Stegostoma tigrinum: one gene and its partner. The main gene of each other region encodes a partner of the protein of the gene in region 2 in a complex. Links are inferred from orthologs where the notes say so. Each region holds a gene or a part of one and is shown on either strand. Other genes may lie near its edges.

The links. The genes of interacting proteins can lie anywhere in the genome.
Region 1: the proteins of wdr59 (region 2) and mios are in contact, whole or in part, in a cryo-EM structure (PDB 7UHY), measured with the Homo sapiens proteins. The link is inferred for Stegostoma tigrinum from reciprocal best matches to the Homo sapiens genes WDR59 and MIOS. Residues at the interface, in NP_085058.3 of Homo sapiens: Tyr871, Arg876, Glu877, Arg879, Ala880, Glu881, Leu883, Lys884, Pro889, Pro890, His893, Lys894, Gly895, Ile896, Glu897, Phe898, Gly899, Val900, Tyr901, Arg906, Glu908, Val909, Arg910, Thr912, Phe922, Gln923, Ala925, Ile926, Cys927, His928; in NP_001357005.1 of Homo sapiens: Asp705, Trp710, His711, Arg713, Ala714, Ile718, Ser721, Lys728, Pro729, Leu730, Ala731, Gln732, Val733, Phe734, Val735, Ser736, Cys737, Asn738, Phe739, Ile744, Lys780, Pro781, Leu782, Pro783, Leu787, Cys788, Leu789, Gly793, Pro795, Gln819.

The regions. Positions count from the first base shown.
Region 1 is NC_081355.1:82,165,391-82,173,175, forward strand, and holds the start of mios (GATOR complex protein MIOS), read right to left. Parts: upstream 3,238-7,785; 5' UTR 3,172-3,237; intron 1-3,171. UniProt on the Homo sapiens protein: As a component of the GATOR2 complex, functions as an activator of the amino acid-sensing branch of the mTORC1 signaling pathway. The GATOR2 complex indirectly activates mTORC1 through the inhibition of the GATOR1 subcomplex.
Region 2 is NC_081369.1:11,740,008-11,748,035, forward strand, and holds the start of wdr59 (GATOR complex protein WDR59), read right to left. Parts: upstream 3,235-8,028; 5' UTR 3,179-3,234; coding exon 3,125-3,178; intron 1-3,124. Other genes in the region: mixed lineage kinase domain-like protein, read left to right, coding at 4,468-4,516. UniProt on the Homo sapiens protein: As a component of the GATOR2 complex, functions as an activator of the amino acid-sensing branch of the mTORC1 signaling pathway. The GATOR2 complex indirectly activates mTORC1 through the inhibition of the GATOR1 subcomplex.

The sequences.
Region 1 (7,785 bases), on a different chromosome or scaffold from region 2:
AATCAGCCTTCCTGCTCCTCCAATACTGCTTGGCCTGCTGTGTTCATCCAGCTCCACACCTTGTTATCTTAGGTTTACTGATCTCATTATTTTTTCCACAAAACTAGGGAAAAAAAATGATCACAGAACAGATCAACGGGGTTTACAGCCAATTCATTATTTTCTAAGTGTGGCCACTGTTGGGGAAAGAGGAACACAATGCCCTAGTAACGTTAAGACTGCAACAGACACATTTAACAAACCTGTCTGCTCTTTCACGAGTACCAGCCACTATCTCTGGATGAGATGGCCTATATAAATGATTTGGATGTGAATATAGAAGGTACGGTTCATAATTTGCACACGACACTAAAAATAGTGTACAGTGAAGAGGGTTACCTCAGTACAATGGGACCTTCATCTGATGGGGTTTAAATCTACATAAATGCGAGGTGTGGGCATGGCTTTTACACTTAATGATAAGGTCCTGAGGAGTGTTGCCAAACAAAGACTCCTTGGAGTGCAGCTTCAGAGTTCCACAAACGCACATTGACAGGGTAGTGAAGGCGGTGCTTGGCATGTTTCCCTTTGTTGGTCAATGCAATCAGTATCAGAGTTGGGAGATCATGTTGTGGCTGTACAAGATATTGGTTAGGAGACTTTTGGAACACTGCATTCAATTCTGGTGTCCATTGATGTTGTTAAACTTTAAAAGCTGTGTGGAAAAGATTTGTGAGGACGCTGCCATGGTTGGCAGGTTTGAGCTACAGGGAGAGACTTAATAGACTGGGGCTATTTTTACCCCCAAGCAACAGAGGCTGCCAGGTGGCCTAGCATAAGTTTATAAAATCATGAGATGCTCGGATAGAGTGAACAGCCAAAGTCTTTTCCACTTGGTGGAAGAGTCCAAAACTAGGGGGCTTAGGTTTAAGTGAGAGGGGAAAGATTTCAAAGGGCCCTTAGGGGAAGCATTTTCACACAGACAGTGGTGTGTAAATGAAAATGAACTGCCAGTGGACGCAGTGGAGGCTGGTACAATTGCAACATTTAAAAGGCATCCGGATGGGTATACAAATAGGAAGGATTTAGAAGGACATGGGCCAAAACACTGGCAAATGGGACTAGATTAATTTAAGATACCTAGTCTGCATAAATGAGTTGGACCAAAGGGTCTGTTTCAATGCTGTATATGTCCACTTAGGCCCTCGAGACCTTAGAAAAGAATAAAGCTCCCAAAAGCAACAGGTTACTGGCCAAGTCCTATTCAGTGCTGTGGGACTGGATCGTCGAGGACTTGCTAGAGATGTGTGACAATATGGTTCTGGCAGATAGCACATGTGAGTCCTTAAGATATATCACCCTCATCTACAAGTGGAAGGGGGAAAGAGAGAGAGAACTTGAAATAGGCAACCCATTTCACGGCTGCATGCAAATTATAAAATCCTGTGTCTAATGTCATCACCAGCCGAGTCAGGTCTGCTCTGGATTTGGCAATTCACCTTAACAAACTTGTAGTACTGTACCAGGCAGGATGATCCCTGTATTCCTGAGGAATGCAATGCTGTCAATCACGTACGAACAGGACAGGTGGGCAGGGACTGTGTTCACAGGGACACTATTTACAAAGTCTGGGTACCCAACGCTTCCCACACCCTGATGGCCGCCTTCATGTGTGGCTCCATCATACTGTGCATAGACCCTTGATCACAAACACCAAGTGTCACTACATACTGGGGTTCTAACTGTCCCTAATGCTACAAGGGATCAGCTTAGCCTTATTAATGTGGATTGCTCGAAGGAGTTGGACCGTTCAGTACCACCTGTCCCTCATAGGAAAGGATTTGCAAAGGAAAACACCATTGACCACAAGTCCATTAGGCAGTGGTCAGCATGTAACATCCTCCGCTGAAAAAGGAGACAGTTCATCCTGTCAGGTGGTTTCCTGAGCAGACTGTTAAAGTCACTTGGTAGAATGCCTCAAAAGCATAATTGTCAGACAAGTATCAAGACATAGCTTGAGGGCACTGTCCATCAGATCCTTCAAGTAAGTCTGATGAAGGGTCTAGGCCCGAAACATCAGCTTTTGTGCTCCTGAGATGCTGCTGGGCCTGCTGTGTTCATCCAGCCCCACATTTTATTATCTTGGATTCTCCAGCATCTGCAGTTCCCATTATCACTCTACACTACAACATGCTGCCCTTGAAGTGGCAGCACAAAGTGGGGGAAGAAGGGGTGAATAAACTGTCACACATCTCTGTGATGCCTTTGCAAAGGAGGCCTGGACAGCAATGCAGGGATTTCTTTTTCATCAAGGTTCATCCTGAGCACTCCAAGATACAAGACCCCATTCTCTATAGACAGTCCCTCATGTCAAAGACCAAGGCAAGCACTGACTACACATGGAAGACACAATCAACATAACTCAGTGAAAGACTCTTTGGTTTGCCTAAAACATGTTGGTATTCTCATGCAAAGAACTGAGTACTGAAGACTGAAACAATCCAAGCTGCAGTATTACAGGCTGAGGAACACACTAAACACACCTTGGGACAGCTGCCAGAAGGCACAGTGAGAAAAGGTCACCGTCTAATGTCTTTCTGCAAACTGAAACAGAAGCCCGTTAAGCTGGTAGACCCCTTTAATCCATTAAAAGGTAAGTACTTTCTTCCTGCAAGAGGTAAAAATGTTACTTTCAACTGCACAGTAGCTCTGTAGGACATAATTCCAGTGTATCATTGTTTGTTTCTTCATTGGCAAAATTATACAGAACAGAATGTTAAACTGTGTTTGTACTTATACTTTATTCACAAAAACAAGTTATATTTTTGCTATTAAAAAAGTCTTGCGCTCTCTCTCTCTCGCACTCCTGTAATGTTCGAGGAGTTTCCAGCACTGCACTGTGCTCCGAAATAAAATCACGATTCCACTCATTTAGCAGGAGCTCACACAGGACTAAGGCAGACACTCCACCCTGCCCACGCATCATTCATATCACACTCGGATAAATTCCCGAGCAACGGAGACACAGGCCTAAAGCCCAATATCCGGCGACAAGCTTCAAACTCGGCACTCGGCCGGCCGTCAATGGCACCATTACTAACAATGTTCCCAACGGCCACACTCAAACCAGCTCCTACCGCCTCCCTCGCCAGGGCCTAGTACCCGTCCACATGGCGATTCCCTGAGACTCACCCAACAGCTCCCCGGCACCCTGGATCGTTCCCAACAACGCATGCGCAGCTCTTCCAGCGGGGGAAGAGAAAACGCAGTGTTTATTCACGTGATCCCTGACGTCAAAGAACCTACGGGAGCAGAAAGGCACGTGGCTGTAGCCGGTTTTTGGGTTATCCTGCAAAGTTGGGTGCTGGTGAAGAATCATTGATCCAGCGATTTGCAGATACATTTACACATGACGTTACATGAAAGAAATATCATTTCATATCATATCATACCATTCTGAATATGTGACTCGTGACCTATCCCGATAGATTTCCTACATTCTATTTGTTACTAAAAATACAATGTGCTGTAGATATAAGAACTTGTCAATAAACCTATTTTTAACATTTGTATTCCTGTATTATGCTGCAAATATTCACTTAGACAAATCTCACCAGTCTTACACACATACGAAAAGGAGACGCGTAGTGCCGCTGCTATAAAGTGTGGAGCTGGATGAACACAGCAGGCCAAGCAGTATCTAAGGAGCACAAAAGCTGACGTTTTGGGCCTAGACCCTTCATCAGAAAAAGGGTCTAGGCCTGAAACATCAGCTTTTGTGCTCCTAAGATGCTGCTTGGCCTGCTGTGTTCATCCAGCTCCACACTTTGTTATCTCGGATTCTCCAGCATCTGAGTTCCCATTATCTCTGAGCATAATGCCATTGCCCCCAGTCTGTTCGTCCATTCCACATGAATGAATGAATGATTTTAATTCCTGATTTACAGCATCCGCAGTTTTTTCTATTTTTAATGATTTTAATTGTGTATTTTACAGTGAGAAAACAGCAAAATACAGTGAAAAGCTTTTCTACCGTCACCATGATCCAGTGCCTTAATAAATAGTTTAAGAATAAGAAAAACATTAGATATAGTTTAAACAGACTCCATCAGTCCTTAGACAGCTCACCATTAACATTGCCTGTACCGCCATCCCTCTTTCACCACCTCGCCACCGCCTATGAGATGCCATCTATGCTACTCTTCAGGCTCCATCTTTCACCACTGGGTCTATTCTCCTCCGCCACCACTCCGACAGACCCACCAATGTCAGAGTCGCGTCTTTCGCTGCTGGGCCCATCTCATCAATGTGGCCATGATGCCCTTCCACTACCACTTCCCTGCCACCAGCAACGGATCCAACCAACCATGAAGATACAGACACTCAGGCACCATCTTTAGCTGCTGGGCCTACCTCACCAACACCTCAGTCAATATAGTAGCTGCCAATTCCAATGGTAGATCCCGTGCTCACCCCAGAAACATAAGTGAAGGCTCATGCAAATGTTATAGACCAGAGGAAATCCTTTCAAAATGTAATAACAAGATAGCCTGAGCCTTAACCTTTTCTTATTTTAAAGGCATGTGTAAGGCATTGTGTTCCAGATGCAATTCAATTGGTCAAACTACTTGACTTAAAGCAAAACATACTTTATTTTTATTCTACAGTTAAAATACAGACAAAATAAAAGTAAAAGAGTTAGCTTATCAAAATGCTTAACAAAATAATCTATGTATATTAATTACCACTAATTAACTGTTCTAATGTAGTAACATCCCACTAACACACTCTTGGCAAAGACAAATTCAGTAAAATAGGCTTTGCCTCACATGCAATTCTAGCAGTAGGAAGAGAACCCCAGCTTTTAGTTTTAACAGAGAGAGGAATAAGAGCTTTCACATCCAGCTTCAAGACCCCAGCAACTGCAGAAAGCTAAAACAATAAATCCTGGTTCTATGGGAGCTTGACTCCACCTATTTAGGCTGTTTCTATTGTGCCAACTTTAAAAATAAATTAAAGCCCTCACAAGCTGTTTACTTTATTGGCTCTGAGCAGACCATTCAGTATCTGTTTCAACCTTTATTTGTTAAAAAAAACGACAAAGTGCAATACTTAAAGCCATAGTATCAACACATGAGCCCTGGTCATATCTCACTCACTCACTCATTGTTACAAGGTCCGCACTGAGCTCACTCACTGCCACCATAGAACATTACAGCACAGTACAGGCCCTTCGGCCCTCGACCACCAGTCTGCACTGAGATCTCTTGCCACTGCCAATGCCATCTGAGTTCAGGACAAGAGGTAAGTAAAGAAACAGAGAAGAAAAAGAAACCAGAACACAGAATCAAAAAAAAAGAAAAGAAAAGCATTCAAACTGCATGAGCTCTGGCTCAGAAGCCCTGCTCTGCTGTCCTCTTGATCAACTGCCTCAAGTGGACTTTTACAGACCACTCGACATAATCCTTGATTACTGGAGATTGAAAAGCTGTATATCTCAGCCATAAAAATACCCCTGTCAAAATGGAGCATCCCCAATGCTCCACACTAGAGAATCATAAAGTAATGCAATGCTTTAAGTGAAGAAATGCATTTTCATTTCAATACTAAATGATCAACACCTTACCCTGAGAAAGTGTTTGTGTTCCAGATTCCACAGCCAAAATAAAACTTCATCAGTCAATAACCACTTGTGCCCCGTTGAAAATGTAGAACAAGGAGCAACAAAGAACAATACAGCACAGGAACAGGCCCTTTGGTCCTCCAACCCTGCGCTACCATGTTTGCCCTTCCATACTAAAACAGGCTTCAATTACAGGATCCGTACCGCTGTTTTCCCTTTCTATTCATATATTCACCCAGGTGCTTCTTGAATGTTGCTATTGTGTCTGCTTCCAACACCTGCTCTGGCAACATGTTCCAGGCACTCAACACCCTTTGTGTGACAAACCTGCCTTGCACATCTCTTTTAAACTTGCCCTGTGCACCTTGAGCCTGTGTCCCTAGTAATTGACTTCTCCGTCCTGGGAAAAAGCCTCATAATTTTCATTATCTCCGTGCCATGCCTAAACTACTTTTAGGTTGCCTCTCGATCTCCTGCATTCAAGTGAAGACAAACCCAGTCTATCCAACCTTTCTTCATAGCTAAAATCCCCCATACCAGGCAACATCCTGGTAAACTTTTTCTGAGCCGTCTCCAAAGCATCCACATCCTTTTGGTAGTGTGATAACTAGAACTATAGGCAATATTCCTAGTGTGGCCTCATTAAAGTTTTATGAAGCTACAGTATAACTTGTCTATCCTTATACCCAGTGCCCTTTCCAGTGAAGGCAAGCATGCCATAAGTCTTTTTTTTATTTCCTTATCTAACTGTGCTGCTGCCTTCAGGGATCTGTGGACCTGCACACCCAGATCCCTCTGCATATCAATACTCCTAAGGGTCCTGCCATTCACTGTATAATTTCCAACTGTACTTAACCTTCCAAAATGCATCCACCCCACATTTGTCAGGATTAAACTCTATCTGCCACTTTTCTGCCTATGCCTCCAGCTGATCCATATCCTGCTGTATCCTCACTATCTGCACCAATCTTTGTATTATCTGCACATTGGCTATTCTGTAGATCTCTGGGACTTCACCTGTGGCCAAAGAGGATACAGATATATCTATCAATGCTCCAGCAATTTGTTCTCTTGCCTTCCTCAATATTCTGGGATAGACTTCATCAGGACCTAGGGACTTATCTACCATAATACTGTAAGATGCACAGCACTCTTCAATTTTGATAACAAGTTGGTTTAGAAACAGGACACTCCCTTCCTTGAGATCATCCTCCACCAATTCTTTCTCTTTGGTGAATACTGACAGAAAGTTTCCATTTAGAACCTTACCTATCTCTTCTGGCTCCACACATAGATTCCCTCTTTTGTCTTTGAGTGGTGTGATCCTTTCCCCGGCTACCCTTCTTGTTTTTAATATATAAATATAAAATAACTTGGGATTCTCCTTAATCCTGTTTGCTGAAGACTTTTTGTGGCTCCTTTCAGCCCTTCTAATTACTTGTTTAAGTTTTTTTCCTACCTTTCTTATATACTTCAAGGGCTTTGTCAATTCCCATCCTCCAAGGCCTTAGGTATGCTTCCTTTTCCTTTTTGACCAAAATCATAATATCCTTGGTCATCCAAAGTTCATGTAACTTGCCATACCTATCCTTCATTCTCGCTGGAACATGCCGCTCCTGAGCTCTAATCATCTGCTTTTTGAAATACTCCCAAATTCTTCCGTTCCTGCCTAATATTGTTGCAGTTCACCTTAACCCAATTCAACACCTTCATCCGAGGACTGCTGTTATTCCTATTCATGAGTATCTTGAAGATCACGGCATTATGGTGTCTACTCCACCACTGAAATGAACCACCACTGAAACGTCACTCACATGGCCAGCTCATTTCCCAAAAACAGGTCCAGTATAACCCTTTCCCTGTTTGGACCATTTACATATTGTGTTAAGAATCCCTCCCGAATAGTCCTTAAAAATTTTGCCCCATCCAAGCCCCCAGCACATAGTAAGTCCTGGTCAATATAGGGGAAGTTAAATTCAACCACCACAATAACCCTGCTGTTTTTACATCTTTCCAAAATCTATTTGCATATTCTCTCCTATATCTCCCAGCTGGCTGTAGGGAGGCCTGTAGTTTACTCCCAGCATTGTGATTTCACCTTTCCTATTCCTGAGTTCTACCCATATCCCCGAATCTCCTGATGTATCCTCCCTCTGTACAACTGTAAGATGCTCCATTGCCAG
Region 2 (8,028 bases):
TTAACAGCTACCACCCCTGAATCCCATATAGTCAATATCCAAGATATGATGTCCTTTCCACCATTTACAAGGCACAAATCAGCAATGTAATGTAATATTACAGTGTTTCAGACGCCCACATCCATTGGGTGAAAAAAATGCTTTCTTAAATCCTTTCTAGAAGTTCTGCCCTTTACCTTAGAGCTATGACCCCTAGTTATTGTTCCCTCCCGTGGGAAAGGTTTCTTCTTATCTATGCCCCTAATAATTTTTTGACCCCAATGAGGTATTTCCCCATAAATCCAGCAGAAAACAATTTATCCAGTTTATCTAACCTCTCTTCATAGCCGAAACTCTCCAACCTTATCTTCTCAAAAGGAGAATACCTGTTTCTCCAATGACCATAATCAAAATGGTGATTGAATAAGACCATTTGGCCCTCTGCGCTGGCTGTTTGATGGGAGAATACAGATTGTCCCACTTCCCAGCCATCTTTCCATAGTGCTGCATGTACCTCCTTTGCTGATAGTATTCTGTTTTCCTCTTGAATGCCTTGATCAAACCTGACCCCATTACACTTTCTGGGAAGAATTCCAGATCCTAACCACATTAAAAAGATTTTCCTTGTTTTGCCATTGCTGCTTTTGCTAATTACATTAAATCAGTGCCCTCTAAATCCTAATCAACTAATCACTCATTTCACCAAACTTCTATCTATAAATAGGCCTAGAGGTCTTTTGGATTACCGAAAGAACTGTGGATGCTGTAAATCAGGAACAAAAACAGAAATTGCTGGAAAAGTTTAGCAAAAGTCTGGCAGCATTCTTCACAGATGCTGCCAGACCTGCTGAGCTTTTCCAGCAACTTCTATCTTTGTGTCTTTTAGATTACTTTTGATTTGCTTCTGGATTTCTCCTCTAAACTTTCTAATTTCAGCCTAATTGTTAATTCTTTAACCACCTGACACTTATCAAGACCACACTTCTTTTTCCTCTTAATCCTTCATCTGGGCGCTTTAGATTTGTTTGTTTTAACTTTTCCCCTTCATAAGAATCTACCTTGTTGGTGTTCGCTTTTCTTTAAAGGGAGCCCCTGATTCAGTAACAGGATTGTCCGCATACCTTTGCTCCATTCTAAATCCATGAAAATTGTTTTTCCTCTGGTTATCGATTCTTACTCTGGTTTCTTCCTTGTTCTTCTCCATAGCCACCCTAAATCTTATGATACAATGATCACTGCCCTCAAAATATTCCCCAACTTGATCCATTTGGCTTACTTTATTTCCAAGAACTACGAGGCCGAACAGTGCTTCTTTCCTCCACGGACCAGAGCCATAAGTCTCATCAAAACATTCCTGAACATTTAAGACTCTTGCCCCTCACTTCCTTTTACACTCTTATGCTAACTTGTATTTAGATAATTCAAGCCCCTCATCATAACAACTGTCTAATTCTTATATCTCTCTGACTCCCTTGTAAATCTGCTCCTTTCTATCTTTTCCACAAGTTGGTGGCCTACAGAATATGTCTAGTCTGGTAAGGACATCTCCATTGTTTCTTAACTGTAACCCTTTAGAAAGGACATTATGGTATTCCAGATGGTGTACAAATATATTTCCAGGGTTCAAGTTCAGATTTGTGGATAGATGGAGAAGTTGTGTTCTTTCACCTTTAGGAAGAGAAGTTTGAGACAGGAGTTGATGGAGAATTTTAAAATCATATAGTGTCATTACATTCCTTTTTTCTCATTGCTCTCTGACTCATCATCACTTTTAATTTCTGAAAAACCAAAGTGCATTGAAAGAAAACCACTTTATGCAGCGAGTGGTTAGGATCTGGAATGCACTGGAAGCAGATTCCATCATGGCTTTCAAAGGGAACTGTACATTTCCCCCAAGAAAAAAAATACAGGGCTACAGTGAAAAGGCAAGGGAGTGGGACTGGATCAGTTGCTCTTGCAGCTGGCATGGGCACAAAAGTGGTCTCTTTTGGTGCTATAACCATTCTGTGCTCTCAGCCTATTAACCTTTTTTTTAAATTTTCTGCGTCCTCCCTTATCTGGCCCCTTACTGAAACAGCTTGCACACTCCATAACATTTTCTCAAACAGTATGCACAACGAAGTCACAGATCAATCCTCCTTATCTTCCAAACAATGTTGGAAACATGAGCACAAGAGGTTGCCTACTGGAACAAGTCAGCAACGGAACAAGTCCTTCAGTACTTAATGGGGTTAGTAAGAGCTCCTGTGGCGGAGTAGTAGTGTCGTAACTATGGGCCAAAAGACCTGAGTTAATTCCCACAGGCTCCAGAGATAGAACATAGAGCATTACAGCACAGTACAGGCCCTTCGGCCTTCGACGTTGTGCCGACCTGTCATACCGATCTCAAGCCCATCTAACCTATACTATTCCATGTACGTCCATATGCTTGTCCAATGATGACTTAAATGTACCTAAAGTTGACAAATCTACTACCGTTGCAGGCAAAGCGTTCCATTCCCTTATTACTCTCTGAGTAAAGAAACTAGCTCTGACATCTGTCCTATATCTTTCACCCCTCAATTTAAAGCTATGCCCCCTCGTGCTCGCCGTCACCATCCTAGGAAGAAGGCTCTCCCTATCCACCCTAGCTAACCCTCTGATTATTTTATATGTTTCAATTAAGTCACCTCTCAACCTTCTTCTCTCTAACGAAACCAGCCTCGTGTCAAAACCTGTCTGAATACATTTACAGATATTTTTAATCAATGGACCGCGAACAAGAATAGCTTCAATAGCCAGGTTTCAGATCTTAACTAAAGTAGAAGTGCACTAGGCACTATTTGAACAGTTTGAAATTAAGTGGCGATGAGAGAAGGCCAGAGAGTCATTTTGACACGAAACATGAATTGTTTCTCTCTCTCTCTCTCTCTCCACACATGGTGCCAAGCCTGCGAAGTTTCTCCAACACCTTCTGTTTCTATTTTAAGGTAAGAGGATTATAGTCAGGGGAGGATGCGCGTTGGTCCTGCGCAGGCGCGCTCACGTTGCTTAGGCCCCCGCCAAAGACAAATCCTCAGACTCCGGCAACCAGTCGACGACAGCGCGAGCCAAAATCGGTCCCCGAGCCCCGGGCAGCGGCGCGGCTGCCGGTCAAAGTTGTTACCTGCGAGTCCCTGACCTCCACCACCACATTCTCACTGCTCCAGCGAGCCGCCATGTCAGGAACGGAGCAGGGCACCAACAACAACAAACTACGTCATCACGTTGCACAGGACGTCCGACGCAGACCTGCGTGCCCCGCCGCCCGGGCCTGGTCCTTCCCGGAAGCAGAGAGCGGTGTGTCAGTGCTGTGTGTTCTGTGGATTCATCTCGTACTGGTGGCAATGATGAATCGTTGACAGTGTCTGAAGATCTTACTCTTCAATTAAACATTTATCCTCTACCCAGTCTGAATATTTTCACCTCCATTTTTTCCTCTGAGGTGTTAAATGCAATACAGACAAAGGAAACAAAGCTATATTATTAGCATTGCAAACTTTAAGCATGCCCAGCTATTTACATAATAATCATTATCCCTGTTGTGCACCGATATGACAGTATCGGCTGACAACATCCGCAACAGACGTGGTAAATTGAGAATGCTCGCCTTGAGCGCCACTGTGCTGAGATGTTCGCAGTGGTGGTATGTGTTTGGGTGTTTTGCTTGACTGTTACCTGTTCTCCATTCCTACTGTTCAACAAGATTCGACAAGACTCAAAAACAATTGTAGATTACAAAAGTGTGGAGCTGGATGAACAATTGTGACCTGTTAACCGAGTTATTTTGTTTCTGCCAGTATCTACCAGTTTATTTCCAAAAAATCACATTGCTGTAATAGTAGACTGTTCCAACGTCAGCAGAATTTATCAATTCGTAGGTGAGGGCAGGGCAAACAATGGACAAATCTCTGCACATCAGGCTTCTACTTCAGATCTTGTTTGTAAGAGTTCTTGTTCTGGTGTCAGATTGGGGAAGTTGGGACTCCTTGAAGAGAAAATCGAGAGGGAATGTATTATTTAGATATTCAACAACGAAAGAGATTTTAGGTATTTGACAAAAGAAGAAATGGCAACATGAGGAAAGTTTTTCGCGTGATTACGATTTGGAAAGCATTACCTTAGATTGTGGTGGAGAAAGATTCAATTAAGTTACTCAAGATGGAATTTGATTATGTCTGAAAAATAACATGCAAGACAGAGGATTGGCAGATGAATTTTGGCTTCAAAAGCCACCATGGACATGATGGGCTGAAAGACCTCTTTCAATTCTGTAATCTTTTGGACCCAAACAAATACAATCCTAATCACCAAACAAAGAAAGAGACCAGAAATACTCTGCAAGAAACAGGGCTGCTTTGGCTGCTCAGCACAATGTCGCAAGCATCAAAAAAGGACAGACGAGAATGAGGCTCAGGTGAATAGAAGCAGGAGTGAGTGGAGCAGTGACAATTATAAAGAGAGGAAAGAATGTCCAAAGACAAAGCTCGAAGAGGATTGCCATTACAGCACCTAACAAGTAATAAGTTTAAATTAAATGACGAGAAATGTTTTATCATTATTGGAATGGTGCATTGTATCCAGGTCAAAAATCTCAATTAGCTTAATGGACACCTGACAAAATCAGGAAGGAACAGTGTAAGTGCAGGGATGATCAACCTCAGTTTTGTGGTAAACCAGCGAGATGATTGTTCTCAGAGATAATGGGAACTGCAGATGCTGGAGAATCTGAGATAATAAGGTGTGGAGCTGGATGAACACAGCAGGCCAAGCAGCATCTTAGGAGCACAAAAGCTGATGTTTCGGGCCTAGACCCTTCATTAGAAAAAGGGGATGGGGAGAGGATTCCGAAAAAAATAGGGAGGGGGGAGGCGGACCGAAGATGGATAGAGGATAAGATAGGTGGAGAGGAGAGTATAGGTGGGGAGGTAGGGAGGAGATAGGTCAGTCCGGGGAGGACAGACAGGTCAAAGGGGCGGAATGAGGCTAGTAGGTAGGAAATGGAGGTGTGGCTTGAGGTGAGAGGAAGGGATAGATGAGAGAAAGGACAGGTTAGGGAGGCGGGGACGAGCTGGGCTGGTTTTGGGATGCAGTGCAAGGAGGGGAGATTTTGAAGCTTGTGAAATCCACATTGATACCATTGGGCTGCAGGGTTCCCAAGCGGAATATGAGTTGCTGTTCCTGCAACCTACGGGTGGCATCATTATGGAACTGCAGGAGGCCCAGGATGAACATGTCAACTAAGGAATGGGAGGTAGAGTTAAAGTGGTTCGCCACTGGGAGGTGCAGTTGTTTAATGCGAACCGAGCGGAGGTGTTCTGCAAAGCGGTCCCCAACCCTCTGCTTGGTTTCTCCAATGTAGTGGAAGCCACACCGGGTACAGGGGATACAATACACCACATTGGCGGATGTGCAGGTGAACATCTGCTTGATGTGGAATGTCTTCTTGGTGCCTGGGATGGGGGTGAGGGAGGAGGTGTGGCGGCAAGTGTAGCATTTCCTGCGGTTGCACGGAAAGTGCCGGGTGTGGTGGGGTTGGAGGGCAGTGTGGAGCGGACAAGGGAGTCACGGAGAGATTGGTCCCTCCGGAAGGCAGACAAGGGTGGGGATGCGATTGTTCTGCTTAAAACAGACAAGGTTTAGACAATATTTAGGCATGGTGAGAATCAGGTTAAACCATCACCAATCATCTCTCTCTTGTGAGAAAGTAACCGTATGATCTGCTGTGACTATGGCAACTTTATCTTTTTTATTGTTTAATTTTATGACAATTAATTGTGTCTGGCTTTGCTGACTGAGACGAGGTTTTGACAAAGTTATTCAGTGGTGTACCGCAAAGGTATAAATGCTGCCATGTGGACGTAATTTCATCAAGTAAACTTAAGATGAAAATAAGCAACATTTTGAGAATCTGATTAACTTTGAACCTTCTCATGTGAGTTGAAGGAAGGCAGTAAGGATTCATCTGACATCTTCAGATTAATATTTCCAGTTACATGTTTTCCATTGACAGACAAATTCTGGCTCAAATACTCACTGTCTAAAGATAAAAGCTTTCTGAAACTTTCGAAAGCAGTGTGTGATAGTATATCTTATCACTTTACTCTGAAACTGACCATTTTTGTATGGTCACTTATGATAAAATAGATTTGTGTTTTCAGTTCTGTTAAGTTACTTATTTTAAAAGAAGTCACTAAGTCATTTGGACCAGTGAACGAAACACATCAGTTCAAGCAAATCATGTGGTTTGAGTTAAACGCCTTCATCAGATACCCGGTGAATAATGAAACGTTTGCATGGAAACATAGAATACAGGAATAGGAGTGGGCCATTTGATCCTTTGAGCCTGCTCCACCAATCACTATGATTATGCTGATCATCCAACTCAGTACCCTATTCCTAGATAGTAGGAACTGCAAATGCTGGAGAATCTGAGATAACGAGGTGCAGAGCTGGATGAACACAGCAGGCCAAGCAGCATCAGAGGAGCAGGAAAGCTGGATGTGGCCGATGGTTGGAATAAGGAAACACTGTCAGGTTTTTTTTCCCAAGTCCCTGTGAGTTAACACTTATAATTCAGTCCCTTCAGCCCAACAAGCCCACACTGACTCTCAGAGCATCCCATTCAACCCACCCTCCTAAATAAACACCCCTGAACACTATGGGCAATTTAGCATGGCCAGTCCATCTAGCCTGCACATCTTTGGACTGTGGGAGGAAACCCAGACTAATATGGGGAGAATGTGCAAACGTCACACAGACAGTTGCCTGAGGTTAGAATTGAACCTGGGACCCTGATGCTGTGAGGCAGCAGTGCTAACCACTGAACCACTGTGCTACCCCTAATAGCTGGTTTGTTCATCATTTATATAAGCAATTTGGATAAGAATACGGGAAGCATAGTTAGTAAGTTTGCGAATGGCACCAAAATTGATGGTATTGTGGACAGTGAAGAAAGTTATTAAAGATTACAAAGAGATCTTGATCAATTGAGTCTTGGGATGAGGAGTGGAAGATGGAGTTTAATTTGGATAAACGTGAGGTGTTACATTTTGGTAAAACAACAAGGAAAGGACTTATACAATTAATGGTAGGGCCCGGAGTAGTGTTGCAGAACAGAGAGACCTAGGAGTGCAGGTATATCATTCTTTGAAATTTGCATCACGGGTAGACAGGGTAGCTAAGAAAGCATTTAGCATGCTTGCCTTCACTGCTCAGACCTTTGAGTATAGGAGTTGGGACATCATGTTGAGGTTGTACAGGATGTGGGTAAGGCCTCTTCTGGTGTACAATTTACAGTCCTGGTCATCCTCCTATAGGAAAGATATTAGGCAATCAGAGGGTGTTTAGGAAAGATTTACCAGGATGTTGCCAGAAATGAAGGGTTTCACTGATAAAAAATAAAGGGCTGGCTAGGTTGGGACTTTTTCCATGTGAGTGCAGGAGGTTGATGGGTGATGTTATAGAGGTTTATAAAATCGTGAGAGGCATAGGTAAGGTGAATAGCAAGGGTCATTTCCTGAGGGTGGAGTAATTCAAAACTCAGAGGCATATTTTTAAGGTGAGAGGAGAAAGTTTAAAAAAAGACATGAGGAGCAGCATTTTTACATGGAGAGTGGTTTGTGTGTGGAATGGCCAGAGGAAATAGTGGATGCAGGTAGAGTTATAATATTTAAAAGACATTTAGATAAGTACGTGAACAGGCAAGTTTCAAGGGATTATCAGCCAAACATAGGCAAGTGGGACTATTTTAGATTGGGGACATGGTTAGCGTTGACAAGTTGGACTGACGTGTAAGTTTCCATGCTGTATGCCTCGATGACTAATCTCCACGGCAAATAAAAGGAGAAGTAAAATTTATGGTCTTTCAAATCAAGTATCATTCTGGGAGCTGACTCATTCTGGGATCTGACATTTCCAGTACACGATCAACTAGTATTATAACAATGTTCCATGCTGCCTTTTAAATACAAAGTGATCGAATTAACCCAAATATTTGTCGAAACCTTGGTTGGACCACACCTAGAGTAT